Macaca fascicularis: one gene and its partners. The protein of the gene in region 4 interacts with the protein of the main gene of each other region in a pairwise test. Links are inferred from orthologs where the notes say so. Each region holds a gene or a part of one and is shown on either strand. Other genes may lie near its edges.

The links.
Region 1: the proteins of MAGEB4 (region 4) and MED21 interact in binary tests that used the Homo sapiens proteins (3 or more experiments, as listed by UniProt). The two-hybrid records come from large-scale screens. The link is inferred for Macaca fascicularis from reciprocal best matches to the Homo sapiens genes MAGEB4 and MED21.
Region 2: the proteins of MAGEB4 (region 4) and FERD3L interact in binary tests that used the Homo sapiens proteins (3 or more experiments, as listed by UniProt). The two-hybrid records come from large-scale screens. The link is inferred for Macaca fascicularis from reciprocal best matches to the Homo sapiens genes MAGEB4 and FERD3L.
Region 3: the proteins of MAGEB4 (region 4) and CCDC136 interact in binary tests that used the Homo sapiens proteins (3 or more experiments, as listed by UniProt). The two-hybrid records come from large-scale screens. The link is inferred for Macaca fascicularis from reciprocal best matches to the Homo sapiens genes MAGEB4 and CCDC136.
Region 5: the proteins of MAGEB4 (region 4) and USHBP1 interact in binary tests that used the Homo sapiens proteins (3 or more experiments, as listed by UniProt). The two-hybrid records come from large-scale screens. The link is inferred for Macaca fascicularis from reciprocal best matches to the Homo sapiens genes MAGEB4 and USHBP1.

What each region holds. Positions count from the first base shown.
Region 1 is NC_088385.1:29,779,813-29,783,910, forward strand, and holds part of MED21 (mediator of RNA polymerase II transcription subunit 21), read left to right. Parts: intron 1-1,348; coding exon 1,349-1,463; intron 1,464-4,098. UniProt on the Homo sapiens protein: Component of the Mediator complex, a coactivator involved in the regulated transcription of nearly all RNA polymerase II-dependent genes.
Region 2 is NC_088377.1:111,066,131-111,070,973, forward strand, and holds FERD3L (fer3-like protein), read left to right. Parts: upstream 1-1,920; 5' UTR 1,921-1,944; coding exon 1,945-2,445; 3' UTR 2,446-4,266; downstream 4,267-4,843. UniProt on the Homo sapiens protein: Transcription factor that binds to the E-box and functions as inhibitor of transcription. DNA binding requires dimerization with an E protein. Inhibits transcription activation by ASCL1/MASH1 by sequestering E proteins.
Region 3 is NC_088377.1:170,267,594-170,271,691, reverse strand, and holds part of CCDC136 (coiled-coil domain-containing protein 136), read right to left. Parts: coding exon 3,936-4,098; intron 2,186-3,935; coding exon 1,991-2,185; intron 1,494-1,990; coding exon 1,266-1,493; intron 1-1,265. UniProt on the Homo sapiens protein: May play a role in acrosome formation in spermatogenesis and in fertilization.
Region 4 is NC_088395.1:30,249,144-30,253,849, forward strand, and holds MAGEB4 (melanoma-associated antigen B4), read left to right. Parts: upstream 1-1,681; 5' UTR 1,682-1,911; coding exon 1,912-2,955; 3' UTR 2,956-3,990; downstream 3,991-4,706.
Region 5 is NC_088393.1:17,575,921-17,580,018, reverse strand, and holds part of USHBP1 (harmonin-binding protein USHBP1), read left to right. Parts: intron 1-59; coding exon 60-233; intron 234-1,707; coding exon 1,708-1,957; intron 1,958-3,395; coding exon 3,396-3,617; intron 3,618-4,098.

The DNA of each region.
Region 1 (4,098 bases), on a different chromosome or scaffold from region 4:
GGCTTGAGCCACCGCGCCCGGCCTAAAAGTTTTTGAAGGATGGAACAGATAGACACTGTGTTGAATATTTTGTGTATTTCCTCTTCCTCACAACAATGCTGTAATAGGAGAATGTATCCAATTTAAAAATGAAAAATGCTACCTGGGTTAATAGAGCTGGGATCTACGTTTGTATAGCGTCTGAGCACTTATTGCTCCATTACTATTATTAAAACCTGGGCAAAGCCATTTAGTCATAAGTGACTTTATGACTAGTTAGGTAAATATGAAGGAGTAGTGGAAAACAAGTCAGTAGAGTTGACTTAGATTGTTGAAAGCTTCAAAACAGCCTGAGTTGGAGGTTTACCTTGAAGACAGTGGTGGAGTAAGCTCAAATGTTTTTATCAGGGTAAAATAAATAACCTGGTGAACTGGCAAACAACAAGAAGGCTATTGTAATAATTCTGGTGTGAGATAATTGGTTGAACTAAGCAACAATAATGATAGAAGGAAAAGAGGAAGATTTGTAGTATTAGCATAATTTGAAGATCAAAGGAAAGCAAGAATCTGAAGTTAGACTGGTTGACTAGGAGACTTTCAATACAAATTAAATATTAAACAGAGGAAACAGTTGCCTTTGAGTTCTGTCATTGAAACAATGGCAGAGAAACCCAAAGGAAATGCTTATTAGAAATAGGAGGTTTGAGAGGTCAAGACTAGGTGAGAGAAATTGGTGGGGAGGATAGGTGTATTTAATTTGGAGATGGTAAGGAATTGATATTCTCCATCTTTAAAAGTACTTACGGAGTACTTTTAGAGTACAAGAGTTTAAAAATTGAGTCTTGAACAGATACATTTCTGATTACTCAAGGTGCTTTTCTGAGCAGCCTTTTCCCCACTATTTTTTTTACACTTATAACTACTCCAGTCTCAGAAAAGGAATCATATACTTTGTGCATGAGTAATAAATTTTTATTAAACGTGATGCCATACTTAGATATTTACAAGTCAAATTTGCTCTTTTCCATCACTGTCCGCAAAAAGTCTTTACTTGTGGCTTACAATAAGTATTGGCCAGTGTTCTCTTATCATTTTACTATAACAAGAAAAGAAAGATTGTTTTGTATTTCAACTGTTCCAACTAGATTTATATCAAATTTTACTTCACCTAGATTGATACCAAACTTAGTTTCTTTGCAGAATTAAAACATGTAATCAACTGGCTTATTTTATCAACAATTACTCCTTTCTGTTTTATTCCCTTGCTCAGAGATTAGCATTACAGAAACTTATTGTTGTTGCTGTTACCAATAAAGTCCTTAAAACTGATAAGTCCTTTCTAACCTCGACATGTTTTCTTTGGCCTAAGCTTGCAGATCAGTTTTGTAATGCCATTGGAGTATTGCAGCAATGTGGTCCTCCTGCCTCTTTCAGTAATATTCAGACAGCAATTAACAAAGACCAGCCTGCTAACCCTACAGAAGGTAAACAGATTTTCTTAGCTTCTCTTATTTTGACTCTCACATTTTTTGTTATCCTTTAAAATTAGATTTCTTGAGAAATTCAGCTTATTTTGTTTCTAAAAATATTGTTACTTGAGGATATTGCAAGTTTTGTTTGTTGTAAAAAACTTAGTCAATTCACCTAACATCTCATAATTCTGGTTCATGTCAGATAATAGATTGTTACTCCTTTAGAGGAGAATTTGTATTAATTTAGCTGAGTGAGGGACCTTAACAAGGAAGGCATCCCATTTATAAATTTTTTTTTTTTTTTCTAAATCTTTTTTTTTTTTAAATTTATTTATTATTATTATACTTTAAGTTGTAGGGTACATGTGCATAACGTGCAGGTTTGTTACATATGTATACTTGTGCCATGTTGGTGTGCTGCACCCATCAACTCGTCATTTACATCAGGTATAACTCCCAATGCAATCCCTCCCCCCTTCCCCCTCCCCATGATAGGCCCCGGTGTGTGATGTTCCCCTTCCTGAGTCCAAGTGATCTCATTGTTCAGTTCCCACCTATGAGTGAGAACATGCGGTGTTTGGTTTTCTGTTCTTGTGATAGTTTGCTAAGAATGATGGTTTCCAGCTGCATCCATGTCCCTACAAAGGACACAAACTCATCCTTTTTGATGGCTGCATAGTATTCCATGGTGTATATGTGCCACATTTTCTTAATCCAATCTGTCACTGATGGACATTTGGGTTGATTCCAAGTCTTTGCTATTGTGAATAGTGCTGCAATAAACATACGTGTGCATGTGTCTTTATAGCAGCATAATTTATAATCCTTTGGGTATATACCCAGTAATGGGATGGCTAGGTCATATGGTACATCTAGTTCTAGATCCTTGAGGAATCGCCATACTGTTTTCCATAATGGTTGAACTAGTTTACAATCCCACCAACAGTGTAAAAGTGTTCCTATTTCTCCACATCCTCTCCAGCACCTGTTGTTTCGTGACTTTTTAATGATCGCCATTCTAACTGGTGTGAGATGGTATCTCATTGTGGTTTTGATTTGCATTTCTCTGATGGCCAGTGATGATGAGCATTTTTTCATGTGTCTGTTGGCTGTATGAATGTCTTCTTTTGAGAAATGTCTGTTCATATCCTTTGCCCACTTTTTGATGGGGTTGTTTGTTTTTTTCTTGTAAATTTGTTTGAGTTCTTTGTAGGTTCTGGATATGAGCCCTTTGTCAGATGAGTAGATTGCAAAAATTTTCTCCCATTCTGTAGGTTGCCTGTTCACTCTGATGGTAGTTTCTTTTGCTGTGCAGAAGCTCTTTAGTTTAATGAGATACCATTTGTCAATTTTGGCTTTTGTTGCCGTTGCTTTTGGTGTTTTAGACATGAAGTCTTTCCCCATGGCTATGTCCTGAATGGTACTACCTAGGTTTTCCTCTAGGATTTTTATGGTATTAGGTCTAACATTTAAGTCTCTAATCCATCTTGAATTAATTTTTGTATAAGGAGTAAGGAAAGGATCCAGTTTCAGCTTTCTACTTATGGCTAGCCAATTTTCCCAGCACCATTTATTAAATAGGGAATCCTTTCCCCATTTCTTGTTTCTCTCAGGTTTGTCAAAGATCAGATGGCTGTAGATGTGTGGTATTATTTCTGAGGACTCTGTTCTGTTCCATTGGTCTATATCTCTGTTTGGTACCAGTACCATGCTGTTTTGGTTACTGTAGCCTTGTAGTATAGTTTGAAGTCAGGTAGCGTGATGCCTCCAGCTTTGTTCTTTTGACTTAGGATTGTCTTGGAGATGCGGGCTCTTTTTTGGTTCCATATGAACTTTAAAGCAGTTTTTTCCAATTCTGTGAAGAAACTCATTGGTAGCTTGATGGGGATGGCATTGAATCTATAAATTACCTTGGGCAGTATGGCCATTTTCACGATATTGATTCTTCCTATCCATGAGCATGGTATGTTCTTCCATTTGTTTGTGTCCTCTTTGATTTCACTGAGCAGTGGTTTGTAGTTCCTGTTGAAGAGGTCCTTTACATCCCTTGTAAGTTGGATTCCTAGGTATTTGATTCTCTTTGAAGCAATTGTGAATGGAAGTTCATTCCTGATTTGGCTCTCTGTTTGTCTGTTACTGGTGTATAAGAATGCTTGTGATTTTTGCACATTAATTTTGTATCCTGAGACTTTGCTGAAGTTGCTTATCAGCTTAAGGAGATTTTGGGCTGAGACAATGGGGTTTTCTAAATATACAATCATGTCATCTGCAAACAGGGACAATTTGACTTCTTCTTTTCCTAACTGAATACCCTTGATTTCTTTCTCTTGCCTAATTGCCCTAGCCAGAACTTCCAACACTATGTTGAATAGGAGTGGTGAGAGAGGGCATCCCTGTCTTGTGCCAGTTGTCAAAGGGAATTTTTCCAGTTTTTGCCCATTCAGTATGATATTGGCTGTGGGTTTGTCATAAATAGCTCTTATTATTTTGAGGTACGTTCCATCAATACCGAATTTATTGAGCGTTTTTAGCATGAAGGGCTGTTGAATTTTGTCAAAAGCCTTTTCTGCATCTATTGAGATAATCATGTGGTTCTTGTCTTTGGTTCTGTTTATATGCTGGATTATGTTTATTGATTTGCGAATGT
Region 2 (4,843 bases), on a different chromosome or scaffold from region 4:
ACAAAAATCAGTTCTCCCATTTACCAGTTTCATAGCCACTGTTGACAATCCTATGAGTTTTTGTTTTTCAGCCTTCCCTTTGAAAGAAGCTTAGCAAAAATCAACTAAGTAATAACCAAAGATCTATTCTCATTAACATCTTCCAGGATCACAAATTTCAATTATTCTCTGCCTGAGTTATCACAATGCAAACTGGAGAATGAACAGTAAACACAAGCAAAAGAAGATAAAATCTCTTAGAAGATCCAGAGACACCAGACACAAATGGGTTAAAAGAAGAAGAATTCAAGGTTATACTGTTCTGATTACACAGAGAGAGGCTAGGAAGAAGAAAATGAATTGAGATTACCTGTTAGAAACAGGAGGTTTCTGGTTTCTGGGAGCTGTCCAATGTACTGAGTGAACCATCTTAGCCACAACTTACCCCTTAATACGGACTGATGTCCTGGGCGGTTCTCTTTTGAACCGAGATGTTTCCACATTCATCTTTTTAGGCTATTTCTTCTAATCTACCTTTAAAATTATCTTCTAATCTGTCATTTTGACCCAATGGGTCTTTTAAATAAATCTTTACACATTACTGAATAATTAAGTAAATATAGTTATTGACAAACAAAGAAAAAGGACCCTTTTGTTAAAATATTAGGGATACTAGAGAAAATATAAAATGAGTAAACTCTTATTTTTATTATGCCAAATTTAAAATCTCTTTCTTATCTCAACGATCTAACGATAATCAAAAAGCTCCTTTAAATATAATTCAATAAGTCATTGTTTCTGCTCTTAAATCTTACTGTAGGACAATACAAATCAATGAGGAAAATAAGCCAGATGGAAGTGTTAGGTTTTTTTCTTTGTTCAGGAACAAATACTCGATCCGCAATTTAAAAGTCCGAAGACTCCTCAGCAGAGGGTGAACTGATTGACTCCTTGGCTTATCAAGGGCAAATCGCATTTCTGAAAAGAGCTTGAAGTGGTTTTGTTTGTGGGGAGAGTTTGCTTTGTCCCCCACACTGAAAGGTATACAGCAAAGCCCGAGCATAGAAAATGTCCTGAGCTTAAATTTGTCATTTTATTGCCGTCATAACGTTTCCTCTTGGAATAAAATCCTCTATTTTATATGAGCAGGAGGTAAAGGTAGGGAAAGGAAAGTCAAGTATCTCAATTGTTAGGCTGATTGCATCCAAACAGACTTTAGAAGCAAGGGTTTGTAACGTGGCAGGAGAGCTGTTTGCGATGCCCTGGAAAGAAAAAGAAAGCCGGTTCCAACAGCGACTCTGGGGAATGCACTCTCGGCCCCCCTGCCATGCTTACTTAAGCTAATGGAAGGTCTTGCCTTTCAGCAGCCGCTGCACTGGGATACCAGACAAACAGCTCCCCTCGATCCCAGGCAGGCAGGGCCCCTCTTCAGGACATCATTAAAAGCACATGCACTTGCTCCACATCCATTGGCAGATGGTGGCAAGATTCAAGACTCCTATCCTGAAGTCAAGGAGAAGCCATCGCCGTGGAAAACATCCTCGCTTTGAAAATCCAACACGAAATTAAAGAACTACACGAGATAAGGAGCCCGGAGAACATTAGTTGGCTGCAGGGGTGAAGACAGACACAAAAAGCACAGCAGGTAAGAGCTGGGGGTTGTTGCCAACAAGGAACTGTCCCGGGTGGCGCAGAGAAAAGGATCTCAGAACTGGAGGCCTGTCCCTTTGAGTCTTCCATGCGTGCTCAAGCTTGTCATCTTCCATAAGCTTCGAGAGAAGGGACGTTGTCAGAGCATTTCTTATCGGTGCGACTAATCCTGTTATCAGCTCGGTTATAAATATTTAATGTTCCCTGGCCCTTCGGTGATGGTGCCCCATCAGATTCAAGGCTGTTAAGAATCTCCACCAGCAGCCTCGCCCCTCCCTGCGGAAAACCGATGAGAGGCAGGGCCAAGCCGAAGCGATGGCGGCCTATCCAGAGAGCTGCGTGGACGCTACGGTGCTGGACTTCGTCGCAGACCTGTCCCTGGCCTCCCCGGGACGCCCTCTCCTCTGCGACTTCGCACCCGGGGTCTCCTTTGGGGATCCAGCCCTTCCGCTCCGAGAAGGAAGACCCAGGAGGATGGCGCGGTTTGAAGAGGGGGACCCAGAAGAAGAGGAGTGCGAAGTGGACCAGGGGGACGGAGAAGAGGAGGAGGAAGAGGAGCGCGAGAGAGGCGTCTCCCTATTAGGCCGCCCCAAGAGGAAAAGGGTGATCACCTACGCCCAGCGCCAGGCCGCCAACATCCGCGAAAGGAAGCGAATGTTCAACCTCAACGAGGCCTTTGACCAGCTGCGGAGGAAGGTGCCCACGTTTGCTTACGAGAAAAGGCTGTCCCGGATCGAGACCCTCCGCCTGGCCATCGTCTACATCTCCTTCATGACCGAGCTCTTGGAGAGCTGTGAGAAGAAGGAAAGCGGCTGAACCGGGTGGGGAGAGTCTGCCCTTCCTGGTCTGGTAGTGCTGGGGTGTGTCAGGACCGGGTACTGGGTGAGGCTAAAGGGCCAAGAGGGACGCCCCAAGACAGAACGTCTGGCCTTCTGGAGGTCGGTTTCGAGATTGTAAGATCCCTAAAGTCCCCGAGCAGAGTGGCTGTTGTAGAGTTCATATCTATGCGACCGCCCTAAGTGAAGTCGGGGTCAGGGGCGAGCGGGGATGTCAGAGCGCGAGAGGATGAGTCCGGGCCGTCCAGGCTGCTCCTAAGAGCTTCCGTGGGCTAGGTGGGTGGGAAGAGAACCCTCCTCGCAAATGGCAGACTTTGGAGCTTCTATAGAATCTAACCTCTCCTCTTTACTTTTTTTTTTTTTCATAGAGATAATAAAGTAGAAATTCTTACTTTTTAAAAAGCCTCAAGAGTCGGTGGTGCGCCATCCCCAGCAGGCGCTCCAGCAGGCGCCTGCAAGGAGGCTCTGGAGCAGACGCCGCGAGGGTGCGGGGATGCGAGCTTTGCTGGTAGCCAGAGGGTTCTGTCTGGTCCTCCGATGCTTCTCCAGGAACTGAGGGAAGGAAACATGGAAGGCAGAGCAGTCGAGGGGAACTGCTGACAAAGTGGGACCTCTGAGAAGGAACACCCTTGCTGTCTTCCATTTCCTCTCCCTCCCCTCCCTTCCTCTCTCCCGCGCGCGAGCCCTCTCTCTTCCTTTCTCCCTCTCCCTCTTCACCTGGTTGATTCCAGAGGGACCATGGCTCCTTGTCCCAGGGCCACAGTGGTGTTCATTCAGTGCCTTAGCCAGAGTGCAAATCTACGCTTTGCATCTTAAGTGCAGCGTCAGCTTCCCTGTTCCAGTGCCTTCAGGCCGCAGGCCAGAGTAAGGGGCGAGTGCACTTGGGTCACTCCTGGGTCGCAGGGGGCCTTGGGTGCCCTGCAGCTTCGCCACCAGTCAGCGTTTCCAACTGTCCCCCCGGCCAGGGGTTGGAGTATGTGAAGGTGCCTGGATCTTTCTAGGAGCAGGGCCGCCTGAGCGCTCACTTTAACGTTTTTAGCTGTAGGGAGGAAAGATAGCTTTCACTCTAATGGCTTCTAGAGACTACCCGACAAAAAGTCCAAAGAAGAGATGCCTTCTGACGCCTTGCAAAACGACTGCCATGCAGACGAGGTTGAAGCGGGTCCATGCTGAGAGGCCGCCTCCAGTTTGGACCCGTGCCATACCAGGATTCTTCCTTCTAGGTGACGTGCTAGTACCAGAACTGGGGTATTTCAGAAAGGAGTGGGTACCTGAGGAGAGGAACCCGATTTAATAATGCCCACGTAAACATAAATTCAGTAATTCTAAAGGATAATCCCCAGTGATTCCAACACTTTATTTCGCCCCTCATTAGGCACAGGAATAGGCGGGGGCCTGTGCGAACACACAATTCTCTGAATTATGTTTTCAGAAAGAGAATTCATTTCATTAATAAGTAACATATACTCATCCTAGAAATTTTGGAACACAAAATTTCAAAAAAGAAAAAAATCGAATCACTCCACATTACCATACTGTTAGCATTTTCATCTATTTATTTCCAGTATTTTTTTCCCTGTACAGTTATAAATTCAATACATTTAACTAATTTGAGATACCTTGGGATACTGATATTTTTCCACTTGACATTATAGAAGGTGCAATGTTTTTCCTTAACTTTCAATATTATCCAAATGTGATTTTGATTACCATATCTTATTGTCATATCCATGTATCACAACACCATCCCTTTACAGATAGATAACTATTTCCTTTAAAAAAAAATAAATGATGCTGCTAAGAGCATTCTTGTAAATGTCTTCTCTGTCTATTATTATTTCCTAATATTTGATACCTAGAAGTGAAATTTCTGGATTCAAGTTTGTGGATACAAATGGCCAGATTCCCTTCTTGGTGGGTTCTGTCAGTTCACTCTCCCACCCTCTAGTATTGCAGGAATTTGCCTGTTTCCCAGCCCATTCATTAGTACTTTGAATATTTAAAACTTCTCTTAGTTTTCCTTTCAATAGGGCCTGGCTTAGTTCTCAAATGAGCCCCCATTCCCAAGATTTTTATTATTATTATTTTTATTGTGTCTTTCTATCAAGAATTTTTCGAACTCTACCACAAGAACATCAGAATAAACAGCTAAATGAAAAAAATACACAAACAGCTAACACTAAACAACAAAACCCCATAGTGTTGTTTTTTCTTATTCTTCTACCAATTCAAGTTCTCCTAGAAATTAAACATCATTCTTTTTTTAAAAAAAATCATCTGAAAGTGTTGAATAAGTAAAAAGAAAAAAAAAGTAATTCCAATCTAGGAATTCTTAATATTTTGTTAAAGGAACCAGTTTTGAAAACCAGAAATAAAGC
Region 3 (4,098 bases), on a different chromosome or scaffold from region 4:
CATGTATCAGTTTCTTGCTCATTTGGGAAAATATCCCCAGGGCAGATACTCCATAATTTCCCGGCTCCCATTTCAGCTGGTTTCTGCACTTTGGTACATCCCTGTCTCCCTGGAGCAGTCCCGAGTGGGTTTCCAGAACACCTTGGCTCCCCATCACACCCTCTTCTCAGTCAGGTATACCTGTTATCCTGACCTTCAGGCTCAGTCTCCCTGCCCACCCCTAGTTGTAAAATCAGCCTGGCCTTGAACGCGGCAATATGAAGAACTGGAATCAAAGTCTCACTATTAGTTCCTGTATCTCCTGCCCCAATTCTGAATCTGGCCTCTGGGCATGTTTCCCAGGCTCTCTGGGCCTGGCTTCTTGGCGCTGATGTCCAGGATGAGATCTGATCAGTTAAGGAAATATTTTATACCTGGTTCCCAGCTGTGTTACCCAGGCCTGCAGCCTGGACATCTGCTGCCCCTGGAATATGATCCAGCCTCACAGTGTTGACTTCTGCTACTCCCTGGTTCTCCTTGTTCAGAATAAGATCTGAATGAATAGATTCGGCCTAAACCGAAACTGTCTACCTGCCCCTCCTCACCCACGCTGAGACCTCAGAACAACTTTAGCCCCCAACCCTGAATAGAATTGTACGGTGATCTCCACCTGTGTCACCTCATCGGTATGACCCCTTGCTGGTACTTGAAAGGCATCGATTTTCTGGTCTAACCCCTGTGACCTTGCTCTGTTATTGCCACCAAAGTTCCAATGAAGATAGTGTGGTCAGTACTAAGAACCCCATGTGCTAGGAATTCTTCTCTTGGAAATGAAAGGGCCCAAATTTGCCTCACAGATAACACCAAAGGTGAACGATTTTGATAACTGAGAACCGTACTTTTCCACTCAAGAAAAAGATGACATGTTTAGAGTCAGTCCAAAGGAATCCAACTATACATCTTACTAGGAATGAGTCAAATGATCCGATGACAGATTTTGGGTCATCCCAGCTCTGCCCTGAGTGCTCACAGTGCTTCAACTGGGCACTGTGAATATCAATATGATAAAGGATAATGGCATCTAGGTGAGGTCCTCAGGCTGTATCTAAAAGCCACCTCTTAATGGAGCCTGAAAGAGGTCACAGGTGGTGAAGGGCAGGGCTTTAGCCTTATCCTTACCCCTGGCCAAACAGGCCTTCCCAACTCTGACCCTTCAGCAGTGCCCACTCTCCCTGTCATGCTGCTGTGCTCAGGAGAACTGTCTCCCTACCTCTTGCTATGGTTACCTTGTTTCGATTATATTTTGAGGACTTAGCCAATTTGGAATCATCGGGATTCTCCAGCACTTCCTGGAAATGAGACTCTTTGAAACGTCGCAGCTCTTCGTGGATCTCTAATTGTTCTTTTAATACACAGTCCTGGTTCTGTATCAGCTTCTTCTGTTCCTCCTGCATGCCTTGGTAGAGCAGCTGCAGCTCACACAGGTCTTCTAACTTGGTGAGTAGCTCCTGACTCTGAGGCGGAGTAGAAGGAAGGAGGCAAGGGATTGTGGTGGTTACACAGAAAGTCCGATGCCTCCTTGGTGCCTCATCCCTGCTGTGAACAATTCCCTGAAGAATCTCAGGGCTGGCTTCACAGAGCCCATCTGGGGACAGGGGGAGTCTTTCTATGGAGACCAGCTAAAAGTAGCAATGGTTTCTTACGTTGGGATATATTTTGTCATTTACAAAGTGGTTTCAGGTGCATTTTCTCCAGATGGACTAAATAACTAAATATAAACTGCTGCACAGATTCCAGAGTATAAAAGGTATTTTAAGATTTAAAGCCCTTATAAGAAAAACTCTAATTGGCTCTATGGAGCTTTTTGGTTTGGGGAGAGTGGTGAGAAAGTAAGGAGTCATTGGTAAGAAGAAGAAAAAGTTCAACCTCCACCCTTCTATTTTTCCCTAGTCACACAGGGAAGCTTCTCAGAGCAGCTTCCCCAGTTAGCAGCTGCCTCTGGCGGAGTTACCTTGAGTAAGAGGCCACTCTTGGGCAGTGGCAGTGTGAGCCTGTGCAGCTCTTCCTGCAGCTGGCCCTGCTCCTCCTGCATCCTCCTCTGGTCCTCCAGGAGCTCACACTGCTCCATCTGCAGCTGCCCCATCTCCTTCTGGCTGGCCTTGTACTTTTCCTGCAATTCTGTCAGTCTGGACAGCAGTGTGTCACACTGTGGGTGGGGGCGGGTGCGGAGGGGGTGGTTACTCTGTAAGGTAAGCTTCCTGGGTGGCTAACAGAGCACTTCCGCGCTCTCCTGCCTCTTGTGATTCTCTCCCTGTGCAGTCACTTTGGACTGGTCACCCCAAGCCACAATGCACCCTGGCTGTTTAGATACCGATTGGGGATCCCCCACAGGCTGGTCTTTCAGAGCAGGTTGCTCTAGACTGGTGGCTGGCCTTGCTCTAAACTTCTACCATTCCTTTCTGGGGGCAGTTTGATGGCGAATGCTATCGATGCCCCTTTCCTCTTCTCTGGCCCTTTCCTTTGGTGTATACACCATATTCCCACCCTGCTGGGAACTCTTAGCTCCTGTTATTCTCATTAACCCCAGTTGTTTTTGAATGCAATTACACTCCTTACCAATAAGGACCTAATTTCACCCTAATTTTTCCCATTTTTGCTTTCCTAATTCTCTCTTTATATCTTTAGAAAGTATGCGCTATTGCTGAATTTGGATTGAGAAGTCTAAATCATCCCATTTCCAAAAACCCAAATCTTCCAGTATCAGACAGATCTCAATGCTGTTTTATGGCTAGAGAAAAAAACAGGTGCTGTCTGCCAGCATGCTTCTCCTTTCCCATCGTTTTTCCCATTAGGGGAAGAGGTGACGAGCAAGTCACGGATCCCCTGGGCTCCTAAATTGAGTAGAAGTGGAAAAAGGAGGAAACGTGAGCCTGGATATAGAAAGGCAAAGAGACTGTTGAGGTAGCCCAAATAACCTTCCCAGTCCTCTGTCTCCTGAAGGCCTTTCCCCAGGGACAGGAACTACTGAGTTTCTGGCAGAATGTGACCAGCTCCACCATCTTTAGAGACTCTTGGGCCTTTTCTCCAACATGCTTCAACACCTTTCCATTTCCCATCAGTAATCAGGAGCTGAAAGTGCTCAACAGGATAAATGATAACGGCTTGCATTTTATACACTATGGAAAAGAAAAAAAATGAATAAGCCCTTATTTATCACTATCAGGATTTACTACTAAAAGGAAGTGAGATAAGAGTAGAATTCTCTTCCATTTAAAGAGGGCACAATTCAACCTTCAACAATTTAATTACTGGCAGGGCATGGCAGCTCATGCCTGTCATCGAAGCTTGGGAGGCCGAGGCAGGTGGATTACCTGAGGTCAGGAGTTCGAGACCAGCCTGACCAACATGGTGAAACCTCGTCTCAACTAAAAATACAAAAATTAGCCAGGCGCGGTGGCATGTGCCTGTAGTCCCAGCTACTCGGGAGGCTGAGACAGGAAAATCGCTTGAAACCAGGAGGCAGAGGCTGCAGTGAGCTGAGATCGTGTCACTGCACTCCAGCCTGGGTGACAGAGTGAGACTCTGTTTCAACAACAACAACAACAACAAAGAATTTAACTACTTCAAAGTCACAGAATAAATCCTGAAAGAGCCTAGGTCCTTCTCTTGCCTAGTCAGCACTCTATATTCCATTGTCTACATACATGGAATCATGTGTAAAACCTTCAGGGGTTCAGACTGGGATCCAAAGGTATTGATCCTACTGAGCTGTGGCTCCGGCTCAAAGTCAAGGTCAGGGCAAACGGTTCTGTAGTTAGCAGCATGTGGCCCTGCCTCTGCTTCCTGCCTAGGAAGCCCATCAAGCCCTTCGATTGGGTGCCTTCATCTTTTGCCTCTGTACCTCCTCTCTCTGGAGCCAGTGCCCAGGAGCTGTCACCTCTCTGAACAACAATTACCTTGTTAGCACACTTTCCTTTGTCCTCCGGACTGGGCTGGGAGGCCTTGAGCTCTTTCAACTCCAGCTGGCAGAGCAGGAGGTCCTGCTCCAGCTGGTCATACATGTGCTTCTGCCGCTCCAGCTCGTCCTTGCTGGCCTGGTACAGCTGCTTCATCTCCTGA
Region 4 (4,706 bases):
TGCATAAATCTTAAATTGCCAGAGCAGCATGTAAGGTTGAGGATTCACCACCACTTTTTTAATTTTTAAAAAATAATTGACCTTCTTTTTTAGAATAGTTTTACGTTCACAGCAAAACTGAGCAGAAAGCACAGAGTCCCATGGGCATCCTGTCCTCCCACAGACACAGCCTCCCTCATATCAATCTCCCAAGCCAGGGTGATACATTTGTTACAATTGAGAATACATGGACACGTCATTATCACCCAATGCCCGATGTCTGTAGTTTAGGATTCATTCCTGATGCTGCACATTCTGTGGGTTTTAATATTTAAAAATGTAACATGACATATGTTTACCACCATAGCATCATCCAGAATTGTTTTACTGCCTTAAAAGTTCTCTGTGCCTGATCTATTTATCTCTCACTCTCCCCAACCCTTGGAAACCACTGAACTTTGTACTGTTTCCATACTTTTGCCTTTTCCAGAATGTCATATAGATGGAATTATGCAATGTATAGACTTTTCAAATTGGCTTCTTTCACTCTGTGATATGTATCTAAGTTTCATCCATGTCTCTTTGTGGCGTGATAGTTCATTCCCTTTTAGTGCTGAATAATACTTTATTCTATTAATTTACCCACTCTCCTTCTGAAGGACATATTGGTTGCTTCCCAATTTGAGCAATTATGAATAAAGCTACTATAAACGTTTGTGTGCAGGGTTTTTTTTTTTTTTTTTTTTTTTTGTGGGCATACTGTTTTCAACTCATTTGGCTAAATAACAAGGAGCACACTTGCTGGATCATATGATAAGAGTATGCATAGCTTTGTAAGAAACTTACAAACTGTCTTCCAAAGTGGCTGTACCATTTTGCATGTCCACCAGCAATGACAGTGTGCTCCTGTTGCTCCACATCCTCATCCGTATTTGGGGTTATCAGTGTTTTTGATTTTGACCATTCTTATAGGTATGTAGTGGTATCACATTATTGTTTTAATTTGCAAGTCTCTAATGACCTGTGATGTTGACCATCATTTCATGTATGTATTGCCTTCCATATATATTATTTGTTGAGGTGCCTGCTTAGATCTTTTGCCCATTTTTCATAGGGTTGGTCAGTTCTTATTGTTCAGTTTTAAGAAATGTTTGTATGTTTTGGTTAACAGTCCCTTATAAGATATGTCTTTTGAAAATAATTTTTTCCCAACCTGGGAGTTATCTTATTCTCTTTGTGGTATCCTTAGCAGAGCAGAAGTTTTAATTTAGCAAAGTCCAGGTAATCAATTTTTTTTTCTTAGATGCCCATCACATTTTATATCAGAACTAGAAAAGGTGAAATTCTTGTTCCGAAGTCGCAGTTATCAGTCAGCAGAAGAGACAGTCCACAACCTTGCATGGAGTCCAGATGAGGATCTTGAGTGCAAATCTGGGACCTAAAGAGAGAGTACTAAATGCTTCTAGGCAGGGGTGGTGGGTTGAGGGGCCCCTGGACTTCGTTCATTTGGGTCCCAGAAAACTAAAGAGTCAATTTCACAACACCAATAGAGAGAGGCTCAGGCCCTGCCAAGAGCTGACATGATAATTTTAAAGGTAATCAGAGTGGATCCTCTCCAAGCTTGAACACAGAGATCCCAACTGCGAGGCTTGTTGTCACCCAGTCAGCCCCAGGCAGGGTTGGCAAGCTGCAGCCTAAGGCACATTGTAACTTCCTCAGCTGAGTTCTCAGGGGACAGAATGACTAAGAACAATAGCCCAGTGAATACTTAGAGCAGTGTTCTCAAGGAATCCTGCAGAGGCGGCTTCTGAAAAGCCAAGGTAGTATCTGCCTGCTGAAGGTGTTCTCAGGATTTCATTCACTCTTCTCCAGGAACCACATCACCTGCCCTTCTGCCTACACTCCTGCCTGCTGTGCCTAACCACAGCCATCATGCCTCGGGGTCAGAAGAGTAAGCTTCGTGCCCGTGAGAAACGCCAGCGGACCCGTGCTCAGACCCAGGATCTCAAGGTTGGTCAGGCTACTGCAGCAGAGAAAGAAGAGTCTCCTTCCTCTTCCTCATCTGTTTTGGGGGATACTCCCTCCAGCTCCCTTGCTTTGGGCATTCCCCAGAAGCCTCAGAGAGAGCCACGCACCACCCCTGCTGCTGCAGCTATGTCAGGCACTGGACCTGATGAAGGTGAAGAGAGCCAAGATGAGGAAAATGCAAGTTCCTCCCAGGCCTCAACATCCACTGAGAGATCACTCAAAGATCCTCTAACCAGGAAGACGAAGATGTTGGTGCAGTTCCTGCTGTACAAGTATAAAATGAAAGAGCCCACTACAAAGGCAGAAATGCTGAAGATCATCAGCAAAAAGTACAAGGAGCACTTCCCTGAGATCTTCAGGAAAGTCTCTCAGCGCACAGAGCTGGTCTTTGGCCTTGCCTTGAAGGAGGTCAACCCCACCACTCACTCCTACATCCTTGTCAGCATGCTAGGCCCCACCAATGATGGAAACCAGAGCAGTGCCTGGAGCCTTCCGAGAAACGGGCTTCTGATGCCTCTACTGAGTGTGATCTTCTTAAACGGCAACTGTGCCGGTGAAGAGGAAATCTGGGAATTCCTGAATATGTTGGGGATCTATGATGGAAAGAGGCACCTTATCTTTGGGGAACCCCGAAAGCTCATCACCCAAGATCTGGTGCAGGAAAAATATCTGGAATACCAACAGGTGCCCAACAGTGATCCCCCACGCTATCAATTCCTGTGGGGTCCAAGAGCTTATGCAGAAACCAGCAAGATGAAAGTCCTGGAGTTTTTGGCCAAGGTGAATGACACCACCCCCAATAACTTCCCACTCCTTTATGAAGAGGCTTTGAGAGATGAAGAAGAGAGAACCGGAGCCCGGCCCAGAGTTGCAGCCAGGCGTGGCACTACGGCCGTGACTAGTACGTATTCCAGGGCCACATCCAGCAGCTCTTCCCACCCCATGTGAGATCTAAGGCAAATTGTTCATTTTGTGGTTGAAAGACCTGTTGCTTTCTCTGTTCCTGTGATGCATGAATAACTTGTTGATTTATCTCTTTGTTGTATTTTCTAGTGATGTTTCTTAAAATAGAAAGTTTATTTAGATTCAGAATATAAGTTTAGAAATGGCATGCATCACACACTTATTGCTGTTTATCAGGTTGGTTTAGTAATAAGAATTTTGTTTTAGAAATACAAATAGAAAATCCTGAAATCATTTTTGTGATACAGAGCAAAATAACATGGCATGGGAGTAAGGTTATCCTTAGAAATTTATAATAACTTCACAGTAAAATAGGTAGAATCTGAAGATAGAAAGAGAAGAAAAGTAAAAGTTGCTTTATTCATGGTTTGTCTTACTCCGTTCAGTCTTTTTTTGTTCATAAATTTAAAAGTTACATACCTGGTTTGCTTAGATTATTCAAGAATGTGGAGGCCTGGGCCAAGGTCAATGACAGTGTCCCCATTGTCTTCCCTCCATTAAGAGAAGACTTGGAGAGATGAGGGAGAGAGAGCCAGAGATAGTGTTGCAACTGGGTCTGGCATGTTTCAGTGTGGTGTCCAGCAGTGTCTCCCACTCCTTGTGAAGTCTGAGGTATATTCTTTACTTTTGATTAACAAAACACTTAACCTTCTAATTAATGGAGGGCCAAAGGGGAGTTGGTGGGAACACTATATATAACATATTTGTATGTAAAATGATTTATCTTTTCTTTTTCCTGCTTTTCAGTGTCCTTTTTTTTAATTGTAGATTTATTTAGTTTCAGAATCTAAGTTTGTGAAAGGCATGAATCACTCATTTATTAAAATATAACAGGTTGAAGAGCGAGAATTTTTGCATTATGTAAAACAATTTAAAAATCTTTTAAGTCTTTTCCTGTGATCTAGAACAAGATAATATGGAATTGGAATATGAAATTTGTGAAAAGGAAATTACCTTGCAATAAAGTTGGTGGGACCATGAAGTAGAGAAAAAAAAAAGTAAAATGTGGTCAATTCTTGCTTTGTTTTGTTCTTTTTAGTTTTTCTTTGTAAAAGTGAAGTGTATGTACCCGGATTGGCTTAGCTTTTTCAGGAATGTGGGGGAAATTAAATAGCAATACATTTGACTTCCTGGTCACTTACACTTTAATCGTCCAAATATTAATTGAGCAGCTGTTCTTTGGAGGGCTCCTGGCTAGTACCGGATAAACTAAAAAACAAACAAACAAACAAACAACAAAAAACCCCCAATCCCTGCCCATAGAATTTTAGAATCCAACAGCAGCTATCATATAATGAAGGTGATGAGATACTCCCTAAGACCTAAAGACAGGTGAAAAGAGGGGATAAGAAAGAAGGTGGGGGTGTTTCCAGCAGTGGAATCTAGTGTAAATGTCCTAAGCAAGGTAATCGAGACTTTGGGAAACCGACCATACTGCAATAGGAGGTAATTTTATGTCCCGGCCTAGTGCCTAGATGGGGTGCACTGAGCAGGGGTCACACACTCAAATGGTGGATCTCAGACTTCAGAGATGGAGACTGGAATGAAAAATTGCCTTTAACAGTTACTTTGAGATTGCGGAAAAACCAGAGGGAATCTTTGCCTAGAAGCAGGGATTGAAAGTGGCCGGTGCTCTTGTCCCAGTGCAAGTGAAGTGAATCCAGTACACAAACTAGGTGTTTTATGCAAGTAGTCCCCAGAGTGTTTCTGAGAAATAAGGGTGATACTCCTTTAAG
Region 5 (4,098 bases), on a different chromosome or scaffold from region 4:
GGGCCATTGCACCCAGCCAAGCTGAGTGTCCTGAAGCACTCAGAACCAGTGTCCCATAGTGAGCACTGTGAAGAGGCATACAGGGTTCTTCTTGCTCTGCGGGAGGCCAATTCAGAAGCAGGAGACGAAGCCCCCACGAGTGACCTGCAAGCAGCTGAAGAGGAAGCATGGAGGCTGCTGGCACAAGAGGAGGCCACCATGGATGCAGGGGCACGGCAGAATCCACAGCCAAGGTACCTCCCCGGAACCCTGGGAACTGGCCTGGTTGAGGAGTGGGGTCTTGACTGGGGATTGGGGCTCCCAGAACTCACCATGTTTGGGGGCTTGGTGTGGCTGTGTCCAGCAAGGTCGGTATGGAGCACACTGTAGTTGGTTGACATGAGGCTCAACTGCAGTTGGCCTGTTGCTACTTGACAAAGTTAGCATGGTGGTTGACAGATATTGCAGTTGGCGTGAAGATGGATAATGATGCCTACTGGTTAAAACTGGCACCCACAGCCGGGCACAGTGGCTCACGCCTGTAATCCCAGCACTTTAGGAGGCCAAGGCAGGCAGATCACTTGAGCTCAGTAGTTCAAGACCAGCCCTTGTAACATGGCAAAAGTCCTTTTCTACCAAAACTACAAATAAATTAGCCGGGTGTGCCCATGTAGTCCCAGCTACTTGGGAGGCTGAGGTGGGAGGAAGCCTTGAGTCTGGGAGGTGGAGGCTGCAGTGAGCTGAGATTGCACCACTGCACTCCAGCCTGGGTGACAGAGTGAGACCCTGGTTTTTTTTTTTTTTTTTTTTTTTTTTTTTGAGACGGAGTCTGGCTCTGTCGCCCAGGCTGGAGTGCAGTGGCTGGATCTCAGCTCACTGCAAGCTCCGCCTCCCGGGTTTGCGCCATTCTCCTGCCTCAGCCTCCCGAGTAGCTGGGACTACAGGCGCCCGCCACCTCGCCCGGCTATTTTTTTGTATTTTTTAGTAGAGACAGGGTTTCACCGTGTTAGCCAGGATGGTCTCGATCTCCTGACCTCGTGATCTGCCCGTCTCGGCCTCCCAAAGTGCTGGGATTACAGGCTTGAGCCACCGCGCCTGGCCAAGACCCTGGTTTTTGTTTTGTTTTGAGACGAATTTTCACTCTTGTCACCCAGGCTGGAGTCCAATAGTCTGATCTCGGCTCACTGCAACCTCCGCCTCCCAGGTTCAAGCGATTCTCCTGCCTCAGCCTCCCGAGTAGGTGGGATTACAGGCTCCCACTATCATGCCTGGCTAATTTTGAATTTTCAGTAGAGATGGGGTTTCTCCATATTGGTCAGGCTGGTCTCGAACTCCCGACCTCAGGTGATCCACTTGCCTCTGCCTCCCAAAGTGCTGGGATTACAGGCGTGAGGCACTGTGCCCAGCCCCAGCTAATTATTTTATAAAGACGGATTCTCACTCTGTTGCCTATGCTGCTCTCAAACTTCTGGCTTCAAGCAATCCTCCCACCTCAGCCTCCCAAAGTGCTGGGGTTACAGGCGTGCATCACCACACCTGACCAAAATGTGGTCTTGATGGAAGATGGTGCCTAGTGGGGTACGTTGGTGTGACAGGGGCCACCACAGATGGCAAAGACTCCGTCGTGGCCAGTGAGATGGAAGATGATGGACCCTACCAGGATTGGCATGAAGTTAACCCACCTATGCCTGCCGGTGTTAACATAGGCACATCTTCTGTTTTCTGTAGCCCTGAGGGCAGCAGTGTGGATAAGCCCACACCACAGGAAGTGGCTTTCCAGCTCCGAAGCTATGTCCAGCGTCTCCAGGACCGCCGTTCTCTAGTGAAGATTCTCTCAGAGCCTGGCCCCACCTTGGCATCCATGCCCACTGTGCCCCGTGCAGAAGCCATGGTACAGGCCATTCTGGGGACCCAGTCTGGCCCAGCTCTTCCCCGACTGGAGAAGACACAAATTCAGCAGGACCTGGTGGCCACAAGGGTACAAATGGGCTGTGGTCACTGTCAGTTTTTCTTGATGGGACAAAATCCTTTACTGAGGTTGGGGGATCAAGGAGCAAAGGAGAATTCTCCTGGGCTGGGTGCAGGCATTGTGAAGGAGAATTGGAACTGGGGTTTTGAGGGATTAATAGGAGTTTGTCTTCTGGGGTTCATTGTCTCAATAGACTACAAATCTGGCTCTCCAAAATGCCCTTCGTATGGGAAGAGATGGGAGCAAAGAACACAGTCTTGGGTTTGTAGCTTGGCATGAAAACCTTGAGGTTCTGAAGCTGGAGAAACTCCAGAAGCTTTGACAGAACTGCTCTATGACCTATGTAAGCTACTTGCCCTCTAGGAAATGCCATTTCTACAGCTGTGGTTTTTTTTTTTTTTTTTGAGACGGAGTCTCGCTCTGTCGCCCGGGCTGGAGTGCAGTGGCCGGATCTCAGCTCACTGCAAGTTCCGCCTCCCGGGTTCACGCCATTCTCCTGCCTCAGCCTCCCGAGTAGCTGGGACTACAGTAGACCGCCACCTTGCCCGGCTACTTTTTGTTTTGTTTTGTTTTGTTTTGTTTTTTTTTTTTTTTTGTATTTTTTAGTAGAGACGGGGTTTCACCGTGTTAGCCAGGATGGTCTCGATCTCCTGACCTTGTGATCCCCCCATCTCGGCCTCCCAAAGTGCTGGGATTACAGGCTTGAGCCACCGCGCCTGGCCACAGCTGTGGTTTTTATGGGAGGAAGATATTTCCACCTCACAAAAACATGGTGATCCTGGCGAACCCGGTGAAACCCCGTCTCTACTAAAAAATACAAAAAACTAGCCGGGCGAGGTGGCAGGCGCCTGTAGTCCCAGCTACTCGGGAGGCTGAGGCAGGAGAATGGCATAAACCCGGGAGGCAGAGCTTGCAGTGAGCTGAGATCCGGCCACTGCACTCCAGCCTGGGTGACAGAGCGAGATCCCGTCTCACCAAAAAAAAAAAAAAAAAAAAAAAAAAAAAAAAGAACATGGTGAAGGTCCTAGTTTGTTTTTTGTTTTTTTTTTTTTTGAGACAGAGTCTTGCTCTCACCCAGGCTGAAGTGCTGTGGCGCTATCTCGGCTCACTGCAGCCTCTGCCCCCACCGGGTTCAAGTGATTCTCCTGCCTCAGCCTCCTGAGTAGCTGAGATTACAGTTGTGCACCACCACACCTGGCTATTTTTTGTATTTTCTGTGGAGACGGGGTTTCGCCATGTTGGCCAGGCTGGTCTCGAACTCCTGACCTCAGGTAATCCACCCACTTCGGCCTCCCAAAGTGCTAGGATTACAGGCATGAGCCACCGTGCCCAGCCAAAGGTCACAGTTTTTGTCTGAATAGGCCTCAGTGGGTGCCTCTTGGGGCCTCAGTTTCCCTGCAGTTGACGGTAGAAGCAGAAATTCTCTCCCCTCTCCTTGGTCCCGCAGGAGGCCCTGACGGACCTGATGCTTCGGCTGCAGCTGGTGCGGCGTGAGAAGCGGGGCCTAGAGCTGCGGGAGGCTGCCCTCCGAGCTCTGGGTCCAGCTCACGTGCTCCTGCTGGAGCAGCTGCGGTGGGAACGGGCGGAGCTTCGGACTGGTGGGGCAAACAGCAGTGGCGGACATAGCAGCGGAGGTGGCAGCAGTGGGGACGAGGAAGAGTGGTATCAGGTGAGCCGCCCTGCCTGAACCTGGTAGGGGTAGTAGCTTACTAACGAGAACATAGCCCTTGTCAATCACAGACCCCCCCTTTTTTTTTTTTTTTTTGAGACGGAGGTTTGCTCTTGTTGCCTAGGCTGGAATGCAATGTTGCTATCTCTGCTCACCGCAACCTACGCCTCCCAGGTTCAAGTGATTCTCCTGTCTCAGCCTCCTGAGTAGCTGGCATTACAGACACACACCACCACATCTAGCTAATTTTTGTATGTTTTGTAGAGATGCAGTTTCACCATGTTGGCCAGGCTGGTCTCGAACTCCTGGCCTCAAATGTTTCGCCTGCCTCCGCCTCCCAAAGTGCTGAGATTACAGGCATGAGTCGCTGCGCCTGTCCTTAATGCAGCTCTTTGAATCATCTCTCCCACCTCCAAGCCTTTGTACATTCTGTGTCCCTGCCAGGAACTTCCCTCTTTGTGTCATAAAGTCCTTGACCTCC